2 linked regions of the Canis lupus familiaris genome follow. The protein of the gene in region 2 interacts with the protein of the main gene of each other region in a pairwise test. Links are inferred from orthologs where the notes say so. Each region holds a gene or a part of one and is shown on either strand. Other genes may lie near its edges.

Evidence for each region.
Region 1: the proteins of NEDD9 (region 2) and NFKBIA interact in binary tests that used the Homo sapiens proteins (3 or more experiments, as listed by UniProt). The two-hybrid records come from large-scale screens. The link is inferred for Canis lupus familiaris from reciprocal best matches to the Homo sapiens genes NEDD9 and NFKBIA.

The regions. Positions count from the first base shown.
Region 1 is NC_049229.1:14,259,290-14,269,591, forward strand, and holds NFKBIA (NF-kappa-B inhibitor alpha), read right to left. Parts: upstream 6,595-10,302; 5' UTR 6,467-6,594; coding exon 6,240-6,466; intron 5,660-6,239; coding exon 5,551-5,659; intron 5,208-5,550; coding exon 4,997-5,207; intron 4,712-4,996; coding exon 4,623-4,711; intron 4,492-4,622; coding exon 4,231-4,491; intron 3,910-4,230; coding exon 3,862-3,909; 3' UTR 3,325-3,861; downstream 1-3,324. UniProt on the Homo sapiens protein: Inhibits the activity of dimeric NF-kappa-B/REL complexes by trapping REL (RELA/p65 and NFKB1/p50) dimers in the cytoplasm by masking their nuclear localization signals.
Region 2 is NC_049256.1:12,335,002-12,345,303, forward strand, and holds the start of NEDD9 (enhancer of filamentation 1), read right to left. Parts: upstream 6,102-10,302; 5' UTR 5,901-6,101; intron 5,294-5,900; exon of another isoform or gene 5,154-5,293; intron 1-5,153. UniProt on the Homo sapiens protein: Scaffolding protein which plays a central coordinating role for tyrosine-kinase-based signaling related to cell adhesion. As a focal adhesion protein, plays a role in embryonic fibroblast migration.

The DNA of each region.
Region 1 (10,302 bases), on a different chromosome or scaffold from region 2:
AGTAGCCCAGGCCTTGTCTGGGAACTTGTTAAAAATGTAAGTGTCGGACCAGCTGGGGACTGACTGAATCAGAAATTGCATTTCTACACCATCTCTAGGCCAACACACCCAGTTAGAGAAGCTCTGGTCTAAGGCATGCACATCATTTGCCATCAATTCAAAGGCTGGTAGCAAATTGTAGGCTCAGCTTTGGAATCCAGGATGACACATAGATGTAAAAATGAATAGCCTATCCCAGTTCATAAGTTCTGAGTATGGCTGTGTTCCCTGATACTTGTCAAAAGGATGCCATCAGTCACTTGGGAAATGGAATGAGAATAGATAGTACTGGCCTGGGGGGCAAATAGCTAACAGGGGTGTAATCCCTTGTAAAGAGTAGTGCTAGGACTCCAGGAGGGTACTGCTTTGTGCAGAGCTGCGAAGTTGAGATCATCTCATCTGCCTGCACTCAGTGTTGGAGGCCCCTGACCTGAGCTCACAGCACACTCTATGCTTTATTTTGCCCTCCTGTCTTACATGTGCTTATTCAGTTCCCTTTCCAACCTAAGCAAGGTGTTTTTGGAGGCAGAGGCTGTGGCTGGCTCCTCTGGGGGCTCTGGTCCCTGGCACAGGTCCTGGGGAATAACGGTGCTTCATAACGGGAATGAATGAATGAGTCTGAGAGTTCCACTTCTCTAGGAGGAAAACACACGGGGTGTGTGGGTTTACTCTATGTAATGCTCCCTTTAAATGGGGAGCCGACCTGGGATATTCTTGTCCAAGGACCAGGGTTGGGGAATGTTTCTTGGGCCTGTTTCTGACTGGCGTTCCACTCTGACCCTTCTTGCTGAAGGAAACTTCAACTGCACCTAAGGCAAGCGGATGAAAGGGGGGGAGTAAGGAGGGGGGTGTGAAGGAAGAACCCATCTCACTGACTCAGTTCTCACCCTCAGCACTTAATCACTTCCAGTAGCACCTGAGGTTTCCCTGCAAATACCTCCAAGCACCCAGCCTCCCGCGCTTCCAGGCCCCACAGGGCTGCCCTCCAGTTGCTCAGACTGGAGTTTGTTTCCCTCTTTAAAGAAAAACCCTTCCTTATGGGAGGGACTTGGTACATGTGACCTATAAAGGAAATTTGTCCTGGGGATGAGGCAGGCAGAAGGAATCAAGGAACTAAATTCGAGGAAGTTGCTGACGTGACTTTTTATTTCCCCCCTTCTGCCATTTCCCTCTTTCCCAAGGCTCCCTTACTCCTACCTGTCCTGACAGGACCTTTGGCTTCTTGGAAGAAATCTGAGGGCAGAAAAGGCTCTCGGGCTGCTGCACTGTTTTCTTTGAAAACGTTTGTTCTTGTTTGCTTAGAAATCTTCCCAAGACTGACTCTGCAGATTAGAGTGTTTCGGTTCTAAAATTTTTCTTTAGGGAATTCCAGGCTCCAGTCACCCAACTAGTGGCATGAAGGAAAGAAAATAGGTTTCAGATAAAAAAAAGAGAAAGAAAGAAAGAAAGAAAGGAGGTGAAGAAACAGGAAGACCCCAAGAGTAAGAAAATGGGCCCAGCGTTCTTGAGAGATTTATGGTGATAATGGAATCCACCCTTAAGGTGGAGGTCCTGATAAGCAGAAAAGCTGAGGCCTAGAAATGTGGGAGAGGCTGGGCCCAAATGGGTCAGAAGAGGCCCCTCCCTGCCATGACCATGGAAGGTGTCACCTCTACACCAAAGCCAGTTGCCAAGGAGCCTGAGGAAACCAGTGGGCCACATCCCTTTGCCCCATTTTTCCAAACTTCTCACAGAGCTGGAGTAAGGGTGACAAACAACTTGGCACAAATTCAGTACCATAGAGGAGAGAGAGATATGTGTGACTGTGAAGTGCTAAGGGCATCACTCCAAATTTGGAAGCCAAGTTTCCAACCTGTGTTCGTTTGAATATGAGGTGATGGTTCTTCCCCCCACCACCCCTCTTACCTACCTCTTCTACCCATCAGCTGACAGAGCCGAACCTGGTCAACATTCATGTGTTAGATCACATAGCACCTGTGTTCATGGGCTCTGGGGTGCACGGGGAATTTCTGTGATGGGCCTGGAGCACTTTGAGAGAAGACAAAGCTGGTAGCGGGGCCACCACAGTGCTCGGCTCCAATGACTGAGGCTGCAGGAGGAAGACAGGGATGGCTTTGATGGGTCACTCCAATCTACAATCAATATACGCTTTATATATTAAAAGAGCCACTACGTATTGGCTCCTCTTTGGTCTGAGAGGAAGGTGATCATCATGCTCACTGGATTTTGACAGCATTTATGGATCCGGAAAGGGATAATGTAATGGCAATGTTTTCTTAGGTGTAAGCCAAAGTACATGGATTGCATTTATATGCCATTCTGTATTTTATATAATGCCATGAACTTGGCTATACTACTCTTTCTACCTAGGCAAGAAATGTCTTTTAGGGATGAAAACGTCAATACAGAGCATTTAAACTCAAATTTCACAAGTTCTTGACTTCTGTTAGATTCAGTAGAATTAGCAGATGGACCGAGCTGGGGAAAAGACTCTTTAGGCCTTTAGTATCACTCACTACAGCTGGTAACAATAGGTTGATTTAGAGGTGGAATGCAGTTAAAAGATATTAATCACCTGGAAACAAGGGCTGGAAGTTAACCACCTGCCTTTCCTGCAAGGTGACCCCAGACTGGACATTCTCTCTGGACTGGTTTCTTCCCCTTTGAAATACAGGATGTTGTGCAGTAGCTTGCATTTCTCTCTAGCACCATGTGCCTAGCACTCTGCTATGCTGCTTTAGACGTGTGTTATCTTGTACAATCTTTAGAACAGCCCAGTTTATAAATTAAGAAATGAAGGCTCAAAGGTGGGTACCTGCTAATGTTAGTGTGTTCCATTTCTGAGCTCATTCCTTAGGAACTTCCAGTATTATAGTTAAGAACTTTCCCAGTAATATAAAATGTGATTTAAGCATATTTCTCTTCATCAAAATAATTCCCTAAAGTGGAAGAGTCCTGGCATGCTTAAACCAAGATGAAAGCAGATGACAATGGAGGATTCCAGCTGTAGGCCAAGAAGCCCCCCACCCCTACCCCACCCCCACCACCTAAGAATGGTGGTTTCCTATCATCTTGCTAGAGCCTCCTCTCCCACGCATAGGGCCCTGGGGCTGCCGGCGAAGCCTGGCGGGGAGGCTGGCTTACACAGCGTGAGAAGCTGCTCTCTGAAAGGGCTTTGTAGCTAGCTGTGGTAAGCACTCCCACACAGCTCTACACCTCCCCAGAGGATCGGATGACTCTCAGGTTGGGAGCCCCATGGCAGCCCAAAGAGAATGATCACGATAATTCTGTTTGTAAAAATCTGTTTAATAAATACATGTCTTAGAAGTACCAAAATAATTACCAACAAAATACACAATGTACATCATTTACAGGGGGGTAAACACAAACCTTGACAGGTAGTGACTTTTAACCCCACACCGCCCCCCCCCCCCAAGGTTTAATGACACACCAGGTCATTACACCTGGTTGTCACGCATCCCACACTGGGCACAGCCACTGAATCTATGGTGATTCAATCAAAAAGCACAATGCGATGTAGTCCTTTTGTCACATTTTGCATAACCTCCTTCAGAAACCCCACAAAGGCAACTTCTGAACAAGGTTTTCTTTGAATTCCATTGATCTTGTCCTCCTTCCAAAGTTCACAAAAAATAACAAGGGCTGATCCACCATAGTAAATGTTTCTGGCTAGGGAATGTGAAGTGTGGTTTTAAGTACCCCCTTTTGATTTTTTTCTTTTTTTTTCTTTTTTTTAGAAAAATAAAACTCTCTTTTTGTACAAATATACAAGTCCGTGTTCTTTTAGATATGTTTTGAAGCTCATAACGTCAAGCGCTGGCCTCCAAGCACACAGTCATCATAGGGCAGCTAAAAACAAGAGAAAAAAAAGCCATGTTAAGCTTCCAGTTTTGTCAAAGGTACTGGGATAAGGGTGAGGGCCATTATCAAGTACTCTTGGATTCCATTCTCCATAACCCAAGTATAAATTAACCTCAGGGGCTAAGGAAGTTTTTCTTTAATGCTCCTCTCCTTTAAAAAGAGCAAAAAACAAAGACACACTTTTGGGAGACTCCTGGTCATGAACACTAAAGTGGGAGAACTTCATTGCATTGAGCTCTTTGGATAAAGAGGAGCTCTAGAGACCTGGGAGGGTACTGCTTTGTGCAGAGCGATGGAGTTGACACTCACCTCGTCCTCTGTGAACTCTGACTCTGTGTCATAGCTCTCCTCATCCTCACTCTCTGGCAGCATCTGAAGGTTTTCTAGGGTCAGCTGGCCCAGCTGCTGCTGTATCCGTGTGCTTGGGCGGCCCCACGTGAGCTGGTACGGGGAGTAGCCCTGGTAGGTAACTCTGTTGACATCAGCCCCACACTTCAACAAAAGCGACACAAGGTCAGAATTCTGCAGGTCCACTGCAAGATGGAGGGCGGTTCGGCCATTACAGGGCTCCTGAAACCAAAAGGAATTTGAGATGTTTATGGTTGAGTTTGGAATTTCTACTTGCAACAAGAACATGTGAGGTCTTATTGAGGAGGGCCTGGAGCCCTGATGCGTTCCATCTGGAGACATGAAGAACTCACCTGAGCATTGACATCAGCACCCAAAGACACCAGAAGCTCCACAATGCCCAAATAGCCATGGATAGAAGCTAAATGTAGACATGTGTGACCTAGAAGAACAATGAAGCAAATATAACCACTTGCTTCAACCCTCAGATCTCAAGCAGAACTTTCTGTCTATTCTTATAGGGAATAAATTCTGAATTTGGAGAACCCAGAATCTGGGCTCTGAATGAACTTTATCAAGGCATGAAACAGACCTTTTGCATGCATATTTTCTCAACCTTTCAAGTATTCAGAGTTTCAGCTCTTGCCTGGACTCCTAACATTGGCCTACCTCTCCCTTCTCCATGTCACCTGCCTTCTGATGGGCAGGGTAGGGCAGGCAGACATACCATTGTAGTTGGTGGCCTGGAGGATGGAGTAGAGGTGCTGGGTCCTGCAAGTCTGAGTCAGGACTCCCACGCTGGCCAGGCAGCCTTGCTCACAGGCAAGGTGTAGGGGGGTATTTCCTCGAAAGTCTCGGAGCTCAGGATCACAGCCAGCTTCCAGAAGTGCCTCAGCAATTTCTGGTTGGTTGGTGATCACAGCCAAGTGGAGTGGAGTCTACAAACACAAGAGGGAATAGAAAGAGGGTAAGCCATGGCCCAAACTCAAGAGTCTGTCTTCCCTTGAACTCCGGAGATCTACTGGTTGTGGGTGCTGCTCCTCCTCCCAGACAGGTATGAAGGGCAAGATAAATGCCAGAGGCCGCAGGTGGGCTTTCATCATAGGCCTCACCAAATCAATAGAATTTTCTTTATTCTCTAGGACGTTGGCCGATTCCAATGTAAAAAGGTCAAGGTACATAATGCCCAGTGATTATTAATTTAGAAAGGATTGGGAGCAACTGAGCTAGATCCAACTTCATCACTGGGTCAGAGGCACAGGGCTGGGCGAGCCGGCGCACCTGCTGCAGGTTGTTCTGGAAGTTGAGGAAGGCCAGGTCGCCCTTCACTTGGCGGACCACTTCCATGGTCAGGGCCTTCTCTTCATGGATGATGGCCAAGTGCAGGAACCTAAGGGGAAGAGAGGGAAAAACCCCCAGGGCTGGTGAGTGCATCGCGTGGGGCCCAGGGAGGCGCGGGCTGCGGGGGATTGCGCAAGGCCGGGGTTTCTGGAGGCCGAGGCCGCGGTGTTTTCCGCGAGGTTATTATGAGCTGAGTGTTCCTGGCAGGCGCCCAGGGACTTTCCGGGCCCCCTCCCTCCTCGGCGGGCGCCGGCCAGACCGCCCCGCCCTCCCGCCGGGCCGGAACGCCCTGTACTTCCCCTCCCGGCCCCCCGGCGCCCGCCCGCGGGGCAGGAGCTCCCGCCCCCCTTGTGCAAGCGGGGACTTCGCGTCCCCGCCGCCGCCCCGCCCCCGCCGGCAGGACCGGCTCCGGACCGGGGCTGGGGGGTGGGGGTGCGCGCTGCAGCGCAGGGCTGCTGCACCGCCAGCCCGGGATCCGACCCTCCTCTGCTGCCCGCAGCGCAGCCGGCAGCTTTGCGCGGTCCCGGGGCCAGGGGTGTACGGGGGATCGGTGCCCACACCCCGGTCGGCTGCCGCCCCTCGGCCTCGCGCTGCAGGCGCGGCGTCCCCGCCCGCCCCGAGACACCTACGAGTCTCCGTCCTCGGTGAGCTGCTGCTTCCAGGGCTCGGCGCCGCGCGGCGCCTCCTGCGGCTCGAGACGGATCTCCCGCAGCTCCTTCACCAGCTGCTCGTACTCCTCGTCCTTCATGGAGTCCAGGCCGCTGTCGTGGCGGTCGTCCAGCAGCCGCTCCTTCTTGAGCGCGTCCCGGGGACCCTCCATGGCCCAGTCCTGGGCGTGCTCGGCTTGCTGCAGCATGGCGCGGGAAGGCTCGGCGCTGCTGCCCAGGTGCGCTCGGCCGCGGGCTGCGCGCTCGCCGCCTCGCCTCGCCTCGCCTCGCAGGGTCACGGACGCAGGACCGCTGGCTGCGACTCTTGTGGGCTCGCCAGCGCCGCCGCGGCGCCCTATAAACGCTGGCAGGGGATTTCTCCGGGGCGGGGTCAGGCGCGGGGAATTTCCAAGCCAGTCAGACCAGAAAAGAGAACTGGCCCCGTCCTCTGCTCGGGAGGGGGAGGAAGGGGGAGAAGCCTAAACCCTGAGCCGGGTTCATCAGAGAAACTCCCGGCGATGAGCCACTGGGGTCATGTACAGGGAACTTTTTGATGAACGCTGAGCGGCTGGAAAGTCCTCCCGACCGAGGCCCCCTCCCCCGGTACTTCCCTGCAGCTTGCACTCGGTAATCCTGTCCCTCTGCAAGCGGCCTTCTTTCCCTGGGGTTTCCCACGATCGATTCGACTTGGGGTCGTCGGCTGCTGAGATCCCAATGAACGCAGACCCGCCAGGCAGTTCCTCCTTGGGGTTTGCCAACCTTTCCGTTTCTTGATCTTTTGAAAACTCGGGTGGAAATGATGGCTGGACGTAGGGATTTGCTTCCCCAAACTTCTGCGGGGAAGGACGCACTGGCGGGTTAGAAGGTCGCCGGCTGCCTCTGCCACCCTGCCAATGCCAGGCTCTTTGTGGCGCGGGGACACACGTAGCACTCCCTCGAGGCCCCCCCCCCCCCCCAACCAGGTAAAAGTTGTGCATGCTTTGGCATTAAAAGCCAAAAAGCTTTTGGCATTTTTTGGCATTGAAATGCTTGGAGAACCCTCAAATCATTTCCTCGGGATTAACATTCCTGTTGACTGGTGGAGAGGCAAGCACTCTGCCCTGTGTTCAGCGAAAACGCTGAACAGGACCATACTTTTTTTCAGGTAAAGCAAGGTGTTAATCTTTGTAGTAGAGGTTGTAGCTAGCTGCCCTGCACGAACAAAATAATTATTGAGGTCATGTTTCCTGATTTGCACTGTGCTGCTGCAGAGCCTACTTCTGGGTACCCAGCCGGTGTCTTTCCAGAAGCATTTGGAAGAGGCTGAAGAATAGGTTGAGAAGTGCCTTACCCAAGATTGGGCCTTAAGGATGGTTTAGATTGCAAAGCATCCTACAGAAGGCCACCCTCCCGCCAACCTAACATTACCCTCTTGCTGGCTCCCTGCTCTCCTGCCCTGGAGAGGGCAGCAGTTGGACCTCTCCAGGCGCTGTGTATAGCCCCTATGGGCTCCTCATCCTTTGGTTTCACCTGCAGAAATATAACTTACGTTCCCCACCCTACCCCCATTCTCCTAGCCAACCAGCCTCTAACAGAATTTTTCTATCTCTAGAATTGGTCCAGGCAAAATGAAGCAACTCAGGTCAGAGTTTTTCAGAACTAGCTCCAGGAGGCTTTATAATTTTGCAGAAATTTCTGGTGATTATATTGCAATCATCTTAACTTGACTGGCCATATACTAACCAACCCTTTGCTCATCTCTTCTCCCTCCACTCCTCCCGACTATCTGAATTTAGGGAACCGGGGTCGGGGGAGTGAGATAAAAAAAATATAAGGGGGGATAAAAGCCCTAAAATCAAGAAATAAAACCTTCAGGATAGGGACGCCCGGGTGGCTCAGCTGTTGGATGCCTGCCTTCAGCTCAGGTCGTGATCCCGGGATCTGGGATCGAGTCCCACATCAGGCTCCTTGCAAGGAGCCTGCTTCTCCCTCTGTCTGTGTCTCTGCCTCTCCCTCTCAGTCTGTGTCTCTCATGAATAAATAATCTTAAAAACAACAACAACAACCTTCAGGATAGTAATGATCACATGTTATAATGAAAACTTCCAAAGATAGACTCCATTGTCTCTGCAGGCATATAATATACAAACTATACAATTATTGAGGCAGGGCACAACAGCTATAAATAAATCTCAATTGCAGGCTCTACCTCTAATTAATTACATATTAATTTGGAGAGATCAGTTAACTTTGCTGTGGTGTACCGGCTTTTATAATAACATTGGATTTAACGTCATTTAAGGTTTCTCTCCAGCTTAAAAATTTTATTACTTGTCCACAGATACATAATAACTGCCTCAGGGTGACCATGTCTCTTAGAAATATCACAGTATGTTTTTAGAAGGATTCCCAACACTTACTGCAATACACTGTTAGTTCTCAGAACTCCTCTTGTTAGGTATAGTTCCTACTTTCCCCAAAAGAGACTGAAATGCAAAGAAATTTACCGAGGCACCCGATGGCAGTTTATCTAATTTCTATTCCAACGTATCAATCATTGGGCCAAAGCAGTTGTAGTATTAACACTTTTGAAAACACATCGTAGAAATGAGGCTGAATGCACTGTAATCTTTGAAGACGATACTCAAAATATTTTCTACTCCAAGCATTAGGTAAAATAGAGGGTTGATGTTCCCCTATCTGGGAATATTCGTGTCTGGGGGGGGGGGAGAAGAAGAAAGAAGGAAAAGTTGTATTTTAAAGGCCCCACTTATCTACCTTAGAAGAGGATTTTTAGCTGCAGGTTTAAAAATGACCATTAAGAAAGAAAATCATGCATGAATAAAAATATCTATTTCAATAGCTTTTTTCCTTTTTTTGCTTCAGGTTCCTGATGGGTCTTTATTCCTCATTGTGTAGTGTGACACCTAGTGGTAAGAGTCAGGCCCAGGCATTTCCTGATTTGTCATGAGGCTTTTGGAAATTTTGGGAGGCGCTGAGAGGCTTGATGACCTGTCCCTGTGGTAGGGATTCCCAAGGAGGTACCATATGATTTTCTGCCACCTAGGAGGCAGTTTTGAATGTGACCCAACGTGTTTTCCTCACTACCACATAGAGCTCTATGTGGTTTAAATCAACAAACGTTACAATTTGGATGATAAAGAACATACTTGGAAATTGGAAAACATGAGCAGCTGGGGCAAAAGAAGGCAGCTAAACTGATGATTGGTTTAGAAAGACATTTATGGACTCTTGGACATTTAGAGTTTGCCCGCCGACATTGTGAAGTTGTTAAAATCTTAGATGACTCATTTTTAAAATGTCATTTGGCTTTTTTTCTTTTTCATGCAAGAGACAGAAGAAAGAGTACATTAACCTCAAAGGGGTTTTATATTTTCGCTCAGGATGTAGCCATAAGGAATGACAGGATGGCCAGTGATGCTCAGTGGGCTTCACTCTGGGCAGGAGCACCCCTGTCGGGGAAGGAGCATTATCAGAGGCCTGAGGGAATGCAGGCCCTTCACACAACCCTCCTGAGAGGGAAATGCACAGTGTGGACTATACCTACTGTCTGAAGTGCCCAACGGCCTAGCAGCAGGGTACATGGGCCAATATATTTGGCTTAACATCATGGACAGGGTGTCCTGTGCCAGTTGTCCTGGCCAATTAAACTAACATTATTTTAGCCCCAGCAACTTAAACTCCTGGAAAGGGCTACCTGTTGCCTGATAAAGCCAGGCGGGGGAAAAGGGAGCCATGGCACAGTCCTGAAGTCAAGTACACCACTGACAGCCCCACGGTGAAATTCTGCATTTATATTCTGCTTTTGATCCCAGGCCCTGTCTTTTTTCCTCCTCTGGTTATTAGCAAGCACCTCCATCCATCCCTTTCAGAACTTGGAGCCCCCAAGCTCTGGATCTCTCCTGAAGAAAGACCATTAGGACTTTCATTTGTCATGCCTTAAAAGGAACACTGTCAAAGCCTTCATGTGTTTCTTTTGCTACAAATTCTGCAAATTTAACGGGGGATTAAAGCTTTAAAGGGTCTTAAGCGCAAATATCTACCT
Region 2 (10,302 bases):
CAAAGCTTCTAATGAGAAGCGAATGTGAAGATGAGCGTTGATGCAACTGACACCTCCCTCCACCGTGGCGAGGTCACACCTGAAGCCATGGGGTGCTTCCCCAGGGCCGTCCTACCAGACAGGCAAGGGAGCCTCGAAATCTACCATCCCAGCCTGGATATTTGCCAGCCAAGTGGGCACAGTGAAGTTTTTATTTGAATGATCAAAAAGATCTACAGCAGGGGGCGCCTGAGTGGCCCAGTGGTTTAAGTGAAAAGACTTGATTTCCACTCAGGTCAGGATCTCAGGGTGGTGAGGTCGAACCCCGCCTGTCTCCTGTCCGGCTCTTGGCTGGGTGTGGAGCCTACTTAAGATTCTCTCTCTCCATCTCCCTCTGCCCCTCATTCCTGCTCCTACTTGCATACACTCTCTCTCTAAAGAAAAAATAATAATAATCTGCAGCAAAGGGTGGTGTGGTCACCCCCGGCCCGGGACATCCGGGTCACTCCCAGCCCTGCAGCACTCACTAAGTGGGTGCTGGGTGGAGTGAGACACAGCTATTACCATGAGGAGCTCCTGCTCCAGAGAAGCTCTGCTGGTCTTCTCTCTCAATCCTCCCCCCAGGGTCTGCCCTATGGGGTCTGCTGCCTCGTACAGTTACTAACACGGTTTTTCCTTTCAATCGACTCACTTTTTTTTTTAAGATTTTATTTATTTGAGAGAGAGAGAGAGAGAAAACATGAGTGGGCGGGGGGGAGGCAGAAGTTAGAAGGAGAAGCAGACTCCCTGCTGAACAGGGAGCCTGATACAGGACTTGATCCCAGGACCCCCTATCATGACCTGAGCCGAAGGCAGATGCTTAACCAACTCAGCCACCCAGGCGCCCCTCACTCCTTTTTTTTTTTAACTTAAAGATATTAAAGGTTAGTAGAAGGGAATCATGAAAAATAGACGCAGGAAAACAAAACCAGGTGGTGAAGTTTTGGCTGGCGAGCGTTGCCTGCGGACGGCTCAGAGCCCAAGGCCCACTTGCTCTTTGTCTAAAATGATACATGGTCCGGGGTTAGAGAACGTTGGGATCAGACCACAGTTAGAGGCTCAAAAGAGTGAAAATGGAAAAGTTTTCTGTGACAAAGTCTAGTGCCTCAGCGTGATTTCAGGCCACATCTGTGTGTCGTGAACCATGTAAGATTATCAGATGGTGCCCTATGGTCTGGAAATTTTGATCAAATGAGTTACAGGGAGACAGATAAGCAGAAGGCACATGGAGGGGGCTTGTAGCGAAGATGTGGTACAGTTTTGTACAGGACATGTTAAGGCCAAAGGTGCTCTCCCTGGGGCGCCCGGCTGGGCTCAGTCCATGGAGCCTGCGACTCTTAATCTCTGGCTTCTAAGTTCGAGCCCCACGTTGGACATTGAGATACTCAAAAATAAAAGCTTAAAAAAAGGGGGGGGGCTCTCACTGTAGTTGTACTGGGTCCTTTCTCTAGGTGGGATCTCAGAAGGGGATGGGGAGGCCCCTGAATGGGTATGCGAGAGAGCGAAGCGCAGGTGTCTAGGATGAAATGGGGGACATGGGATGACATGACCTGAGTATCCACGGCGTTGTGTAGCAGGTTGTGTCCGCTTCAGTTTCCTCCAGAAGCGGACCCTGACTCAGATTCAAGTGCATATGGTTTAACAAATGATGCCAGGACAGCCTGTCGGGGAGTAGGGAGTAGGGGAGGGGTAAGGAGAAGGGAAGGGCGCATTATGCAGCCAGCTACCACTGTGGGCAACTGAGCGTGAGCTCGCGTAACAGCTTTGGGGCAAAGGTAAAAGACACGTCTTGGAGTCACTCTGCTCGGGCCTGAGGATGCTGGGATATTTATGGCCCATTGGACAGTTTCTGGGCATTTTCATTTGCCTTTAAGCGATTACAGTGGCCCTACCTGGCTTAGAGAGAGTTCTCAGGTCCTGAGATAAAGATTCAGGCTGTCAGGCGTTAGGCCAGTCCTGGCAAACCATGGGATGCTGGATTCTAGGAAATAAACTGAGGGTCGCTGGAGGGGGTGCGGGGGTGGGAGATGGGGTAACTGGGTGATGGGCATGAAGGAAGGTACGTGAGGTAATGAGCACTGGGTGTTACAGGCAACTGAGGAATCACTGAAGTCTGCCTCTGACACTAACAATACGCTATATGTTAACTAAATTGAATTTAAATAAAGAATTTTTAAAAAAAGGGGGGACGCCCACCTGGGTGGCTCAGTGGTTGAGCATCTGCCTTTGGCCCAGGGTGTGATCCTGGGGTCCTGGGATCGAGTCCCACATCAGGCTCCCTACTTCTCCCTCTGCCTGTGTCTCTGCCTCTCTCTCTGTGTCTCTCATGAATAAATAAATAAAATCTAAGAAAAAACCATTTTTTAAAAAAAGGAAACAATAATAAAGGGATGTCCCCAAGGTGTGAGCAGTTTGTAAGAAAGACTATTATAGGAGTAATCATCCTCTTAACTATGAAAAAAAAAAAAAAAGAAGTTAGTCCAATCCTGATGAGGCTGGAGGAATAGAAGTAGGAAACTGACTGCTCTTACTACACCCTCCCTCTGCTAGAAATTTAAAAACCCTGTCCTGTTTAATCCTTACCAGAGCATCCAAGTGAGCCAGTTCTCATTTACACACAGAGAAAGAGGCACTGGGAGCTGCTTTATTTGCCCAAAGTCATGCAGCCTGTGTTCCACTCCTCTAGTTACACCTTCCTAGTCTTTTTTTTTTTTTAATATTGAAGTAAATTCACATAACATCAATTAGACATTTTAAAGAGGACCATTCAGCAATATTCCTATATCCACAGTACCAGGCAGCCGCCACCTCTATCTAGAGCCAAACCATCTTCATCACCCTACAAGGTGGCCTTGTACACATCAAGCCCTTGCTCCTCACTTCCCCTCCCCCAGCCCCCAGCAGCCACCAATCTACATCTGTCTCTATTGATTTGCCCATTCTGGATATTTCTTATAAATGGAATCGTGTGCTTTTTGTGCCTGGCTTCTTTCATTGCAGCATGGTGTTTTTGAGACTTATCCATGCTGGAGCAGCAGGCATAAGTACTTTTTTCTGTGTGTGGCCGAGTCATACTCGGTTGCATGGATATACCACGATTTGCCTCTCCGTTCATCCGCTGACGGGCACACAAGCTGTTTCCCCTCCTGGACTATTGTGAATAGTGCTGCTATGAAAGTGTGGGTACATGTATTTATTTGAATCTTTGTTTTCAGTTCTTCTGGATGTATAAGTAGGAGTAGACTTGCCGGGCCATGTGTGATAATTTTGTATTTAACTTTTCGAGGAACCATCCTACTCTTTTTGGAGGGACCCTTCTCCTCTATTTAAATGTTAGAATTTGGGACACCTGGGTGGCTCAGTGGCTCAAAGGAGTATCTGCCTTTGACTCAGGTCATGATCCCGGGGTCCTGGGATTGAGTCCCACATCGGGCTCCCCACAGGGAGCCTGCTTCTCTCTCTGCCTATGTCTCGGCCTCTCTCTCTGTGTCTCTCATGAATGAATAAAGATAGGCTCTTTTTAAAAAAAAGTTAGAATTTCTTGAGATTCAATTCTTTTTTCTTCTTTCTTTCTTTCTTTCTTTCTTTCTTTTTCTTTCTTCTTTTTTTTGTTAGATTGTATTTATTTAAGAGAGAGAGAGAGAGAGCACAAGCAGTGGGGAGGGGGATGGGAGAGGAAGAGAGAATCCTAGGCAGACTCCATGCTGAGCACGCCCTACACAGGACTTGATCCCATGAACCTGAGATTATGATCTGAGCCTAAATCAAGAGCCAGACGCTTAAGTGACTGAGCCCCCCAGGTGCTTCTTCCTTGAGGTTCAATTCTAAGCCACTCTCCTGCTTTCTCACTCAACACTTTCCTGCAGGTCACCCGTACCCACGGCTACACTTACCAACCCCACGCCTAGGATCCCCAGACCTCTGCTCAGAGCTCTAAATATTGGTCAGTGTCAACCGGCTGGCTGACATCTACCACTGGATCGATTCTAGAACTGAACCAACCCTGGCCTGGTCCCGACCAGCTTCGCCAGTCTCTGTGATCGCCAAGGAGCATCAGCATCCACTTGGATGTGCAAACCAGGAACTGGGGGTTGTCTTGGATACTTTCCCTCCCAACTCCCCTTTTCTGTCTACCACCAAGCACTGTCGATTTTCCTTTCTAAATGACTTTTAACTTTGTGCAGTCCTCTCTCCGCTGCCATCTCTCTTAGCCATACTCACATAGATACTCTTGCTTGGCTGACTCCATCCACCTTCTCATTGGTCTCCCTGCCCATAGGTGTAGCCCCCTCCCATCCATTCTCCAAACCTATCAAAAGGGATTTCTTAAGAATGCAGATCAATCTGACCACAACACCTCTACCTTCTCCATGGCTTTTAGAGTAAGCAGCACCTTCTCTGCTGGGCCTCTGGGCTCATTTTGAGCCACTCCCCACTTCCCTCCTGCTGCACTGGCCTTGGTTTTGCCAGGTGATTCTGTGGTCTCCTACCTCAGGAAGTGGTCTCCACTGTTCCCTCTACCTGGAGCGTAGCCTTGTGCACTCCTACGCCTTTTTCAGTTCTAGTCTCCCCCCTCCTTCTGGAAACCTCCCTGCCTTTCAGATGAGATCAGCTTCCCCCACAATATGTTCTGATCATTATCACATTTGTGTAATTAGTAATTAACGTCTGCTTCTCCCCTGGACCGTAAGCTTTTTGGAAGCGGGACAACATCAATTTTGCTCCATCTAATGTTAAGTTTGGACTTAAACGCAGCTGCCACACAGTGAATACTCACGAGATAGGTGTTAAATACGTGAATTAACTAATGAATGAGAAATGGAACTCCACCTCAAGGCTGATTTCACATCCTTCTCTCTCCTCGGCTCCCCTTTGCCCTATTCTTAAAACAGGAATGTCCTTGAAAATTGGGCGGAATTTCCTCCCAAGCATGGAAGGAAACAGAAACAAGGTTGAAAACCATCTGGCTGGTTCCCAGAGCTCTGTCATGGGCAACTGCTCTTTGAACTCACTCCTGGGTGGGAACCAGCTTCGGGGGGGAGAGAAGACCAGAGAACCCACTCCCAGCTCTCACCACTGGCACAGGGAAAAATATAAACAGCTCACCCATGTCCACACAGTTTGAACAACATGTAACCCTTTTAGAAATGGCTTTAGCCCTTTTACATTGTACGTTTCCTTCATTCTGAAAGAATTTCAGCAAGATAAAAAGGCTGCCTCAAACCCTTTGTGGAAGAAAGGCAATCGAATGAATGAATGAGTTACGCGTGACTTAGTAAGTATTGAGAGAAGGAAGGACAAAGCTGTTGGGGGGGCCGGGTGTGGACAAGTAGAACACAGTGCAATTTGTCCCCAAGCCCTTAGACATGATGCTAATGATGGGGTCTCTGCAGAGCTGGACACGACTCCAGTTCTCAATCATGGTTTCCTGCTCCTCAGGGGTCATTCCCAGAGGGGCTGAAATGGCATTAGAAATGACTCACATCCACCATAAGGTTTAAGTGACAGCCCACACCTGGAAGCCCTGAAATGGTGTCAGAGAAGCCAAAGCATAAGGTAATCCTAGGTAAGCTCTCTGAGGAGGGCAGCAAGAGGGGAGGAGCCGCCCAGCTTCTAGACCAGGAAGCACCTACCCAGGTTGATTTCAAGGCTAGAATCAATCGTGTAGGTTTGGGGTTGCATGCAAGCCCCTGCCTGCAGGTCAACTGGAAAGAAACCTGGAGTCACTCTTCCCTGCTTGGGGCCATTGAGTCCCTCTTGGCTCCAGTCAAGGGGTGTCGGCAGTGGGGAGCACTAACAGATGTCTGACACCAACTCAGGAAGTCCGAGTGTGAGTGAGTCTCCCCACCCCCCCAGGCCACAGTGAGTGTCTGGGGACTCACCCGGGGCAGGCCCACTGGTGCTGGCTCATCTGGTCTTCCCTGATGTTCTGGCCCTCTCTCTCTCTCTCTGGCCAGGCAGGCGGGAGGTGACGGCTCAGTCCCGCCTCATGATCCTGCTTCTCTCTTGCTGCAGCCACCAGACTTGCTTCTAAAGGCAGCTGCAAGCATTTCCCTACTGGGCAACCACACACGTAGAATGTGAGTGGCGTCCCTACGTGTGTTTTTCCTTCCGGTTGCTGCAAGTGATGTTGTCTCGGTTCATTTCCTCTCTGTGCCACAGTTGGTTTTTTTTTTTTTTTTTTTTTCTGATACACTGAGGGTGATCTGTAGTTTAGGGACAGGTGAGAAGTCTAGCTCTGATCTGGACTGCTTGCTACTTTAACAAGAGGTGATCTTTATTATCACGATGAAATTCAGGGGAGTGCCATAAGCTCCTTCCTAGGCTGCATGGAAGCAGACATTGGGCTATTGTAAGTCCACCAAATTCAGGTTTTTGTGGTTTTTATGGACTTAATGTATTCTAAAGAGTTCCACTATAGATTGACATGAAACATCTTTTCATTTAACCAGTATTTATTGAGTCTATGTGGTACCTGCTAGCCTTTGGGTACCCACATGGAGAATTCCCATTTCCAGGGTGGTATAGAACTGGAGACTGTGCATTTGGAAGGGAATTTGCCAGCTACTTAGTCTCAGACCTTTTGTCTTCTTGCTGTGTGCTTTGGAGTAGCACCCAAGTGGTATGGTCTGAAGCTAACCACCTGGTGCTTGCCTTTAAATGCTTTTGATCTTTCTGTGACTCAGCTTCCTCATCTGTAAAATGGGAGTAGTCATAGGATTGTTGTGGGAATTAAGTGAGGCGTTACATGTAAAGCACTCAAGGAGTGGCTGCCACAAGTATATGAGTGTTTGCTATTATCATTAGTGGCAAATGTTATTATTATGAGCTCAGTTCTTTGCTTTTTTTGCCTTCTCTTCCCCCTCCTTATCCCTTGCTGATGCCTAGAAATGACTGGGGGACAGAGAGGATGGAGGAGAGAGGGAGACGGTTTGAACAAAAGTGGCATGGGATGCTCCTGTTTGCTCTAGTATCAAGACAAGTAAAGCACTGTCCTCGGCCCTCCCTTCATCCTCGCCCTCTGTTCCTGCTGTATATTGCATACCGGCAACTTCTGTTTTGTTATTGTCATTTTGTTTTGTTTGAATTTTCTGTAATCCTCTCTGAAATTCAGATCCATGTCATTTATTTTAAATGTCGAGCTGGTCTGAATCATATTAAGGAAATACTTGCCCATAAGCAGATGCCACATTTATTTATTTATTTTTAAAGATTTTATTTATTTATTCACGAGAGAGAGAGAGAGAGAGAGAGAGAGGCAGAGACACAGGCAGAGGGAGAAGCAGGCTCCATGCAGGGAGCCTGATGTGGGACTTGATCCCAGGACCCCGGGATCACGCCCTGGGCTGAAGGCAGACACTAAACCACTGAGTCACCCAGGGATCCCCAAGATGCCACATTTAAACAAAGAAACAAACCCTCAGCTCAAAGCCTTGTGTAATTAGGATTTATAAATAAATCAATAAGAAGAATATCTATGGCAATCTTCATACACATGTTGTATCCATAGGTGTAATTAGCAATATTCATGGTAAAAATATCATCTGTTTATCTTTCTCTCTTTTTCTTAAAAAAAAAAAAAAACTACTCTTGTGTACATGCTGCATATCAGGAACTGTTTCCAGATTAGAGGTAGAATTATCCTATTCTCAAGTTTTTATTTTATAGTGCAGCGTATCCATACTAAATCGAGTGGAGCAGAAGCATAGACTGTACATATTTTTTTTCCAACATGTCCCTCCATGCATTTCCCATTCTTCCATAACCTGTGATATTTTCTCCATTAGATATTTAAGCAGTCTGAATTTAAATGTATCAATTTCAGAAAAAATAACTTACAGTTATACATAATACCTCAAAGGTTAATGCTGTCGAGTTGTCTCCATAAGTCAGGTACACCCTAGATATACAAGAAGGTGGAGCTTGACTTTTTATACATAAAACATTTGAATTTCTCACCTTGATTATCCTTAATTCTGTTCTTTTGTCTACATCCTCATGGCCTCCTTTCCCACTTGGAGCTGCCTGCATATCTCACGCCTGAGGGCTTCAGAATGGAGAGAGAGAGAGAGAGAGAGAGAGAGCATGTCTGTCAAGGCAAACTGAGGAGCTCACACTTTGTCCAAACACAGATCACACTTGTTCTAGAAAAACAAATGAGATGTTTTTTTCCCACTTGGAAAGATGAAGATTCCTATGTCTGTTTTCCTACTTAGAATTTTTTCCTTCTTCTTTTTTTTTTTTTTTTTTGGTTTATTTTCTTCTTTCTTGATTAGTGACAGGTTATATCATGTGTCAGGATTTTGACAAAGCCCAGAGAGTTCTGACAACAAACAAACAACTGTAATTTCTAATCACTCTATCCAATGAAGACCGTGTTTACATTTTCATTTTTATTTAAACAATCTTCTTGACTACTTTAATTAGCTTCTTCATGCCGGCTCGGTTAGCACCACAGAATGGTTTATAACTACCTGTTAAGCAGTAGCCAAATCCCAGGCAACTGTTTTGAATTTGTCATGGGTGTTTGGTCCAAGGAGAGACTGTTGTATGGAGTGGAGTCTAAGGGGTGAGGAAGGCAGAAGGGAGGAGTATTAGAGAAGATAAAAAGTAAAAAAAAAAATCTATGGCCAAGTTTTGTGTGTGTGTGTGTGTGTGTTTGTGTATTTATGATTCCATTTGTGTGACTCATTTCCCTCCATGGCCGAATACAGTATTAGCCATAGGGAATCAGCTACCCACTGAGGAATTTAAATGAATATGCCCAAGAGTTGGTTTGGCAAATTTTAAGAGCAAACTTGTCTGGTATTATAATGTGTGCCTCATCCCTTCTCAGGAATGGGAGTCAATCTTGTGGTTTTCATTTTTAGATGAAGAAATCAGAGCTCAGAAAGATCCAGTTCATTTGTCCATTCAGCAGCTGTTGCCTACCTGCACACTTCCGTGAGCTTTCCCAGGCATGTTCGGTATACTAGTCCCAAGACACAGGGCTTGTCTTCAAGATAATCTGGTGAGAAAACCATTCCCATGAATTGGTTCACTCAAATACTAAAAGCATTAATTGAGCAAGTGCTATGATAAATAAAAAATGAATGACAATCAGCTCCTCCCTTAAGAGAGACTGCTGACTAGTAGGCCTAGGAAAACAAACTCTACCCATCTTCCTTTTCTGCTCTCTTGCCACTTAACAACCCTCTTTTGCCCTTATCACAGGACATCTTTGTCTTTCCCCTCATCCATTCTCCCAGTTTATCAGCCAAGTCCCCAGACCCCAGTCCCAGGACCTCACGACCAGCTATTTTGGCAATGCATTAATGTTGATTTCCTCGTTCCTATTCTTCTGCTATTTGTGCATTTCCAGCCATGAGTGGAAGCTCAGTCTACTTTCATGCTCCAGAGTCACCCAGCCTCGCTGGCAGAAGTTGAGAAAGGCTGATTTGTCTCCTTGCAGATTCTCCCCCAACAAGCCCCATTGAGGCCCTTCTGCAGCTTGGGAATCTTCTCGTGCATCTCCCACAGACTATCTGTGCAGTTTTCTTTCCATTCTTTTCCCCACCCACCCTCTAGCAGCTCTGTGCCCAGCCCTCACCTGGTGCCACGTGGAGGGTAAGGGCTGATGTGAGTTCTAGCGACTGCATGGTCTCTGCAGACCTTGGCTCTCATATCCTCCTGTTCCTCATTTTCTGCAAATTCTCCAACCCTTTGAATTATAGCTTCTAGCATTGCCGCCTGACTAATAATACGAGTCAGAACTACCTTCTTTTATGTTTATCCTTAGGAGGAAAGTGACATTTGCAAAGATGAAACCATTCTTCTAGTTCACAGAACAGCTGTCTGAAGAAATGTGGACACCTGGAGGGACAAAGGGAAGAAAGACTAAATTATTTTTAAGAGGTCACTGATGGCAAATTTAAAAGGTTCCAATTTATTGGAAGCATTCGTTGCATTTAGACATCTGTCAAACAGCAAGCACTTACTTCTCCATAACTTGTGTCCTGACTACCTATCCCTCTTCTGGGTGGTAGCTAATTTTGGCTTCCCCCCAAAATAATTGGGAAAATCTTGTTAGTATTGATTTTTTCATAATTAAAAAATATTTTATTTATTCGAGAGACACACACACAGAGAGAGAGAGAGAACAAGCGGGATGAGGGTAGAGGGAGAAGCAGACTCTCACTGAGCAGGGAGCCCTATGTGGGACTTGATCCTGGAACTCCAGGATCATGACCTGAGCTGAAGGCAGATGCTTAACTGACTCAGCCAACCAAGTGCCCCTTTTTCATA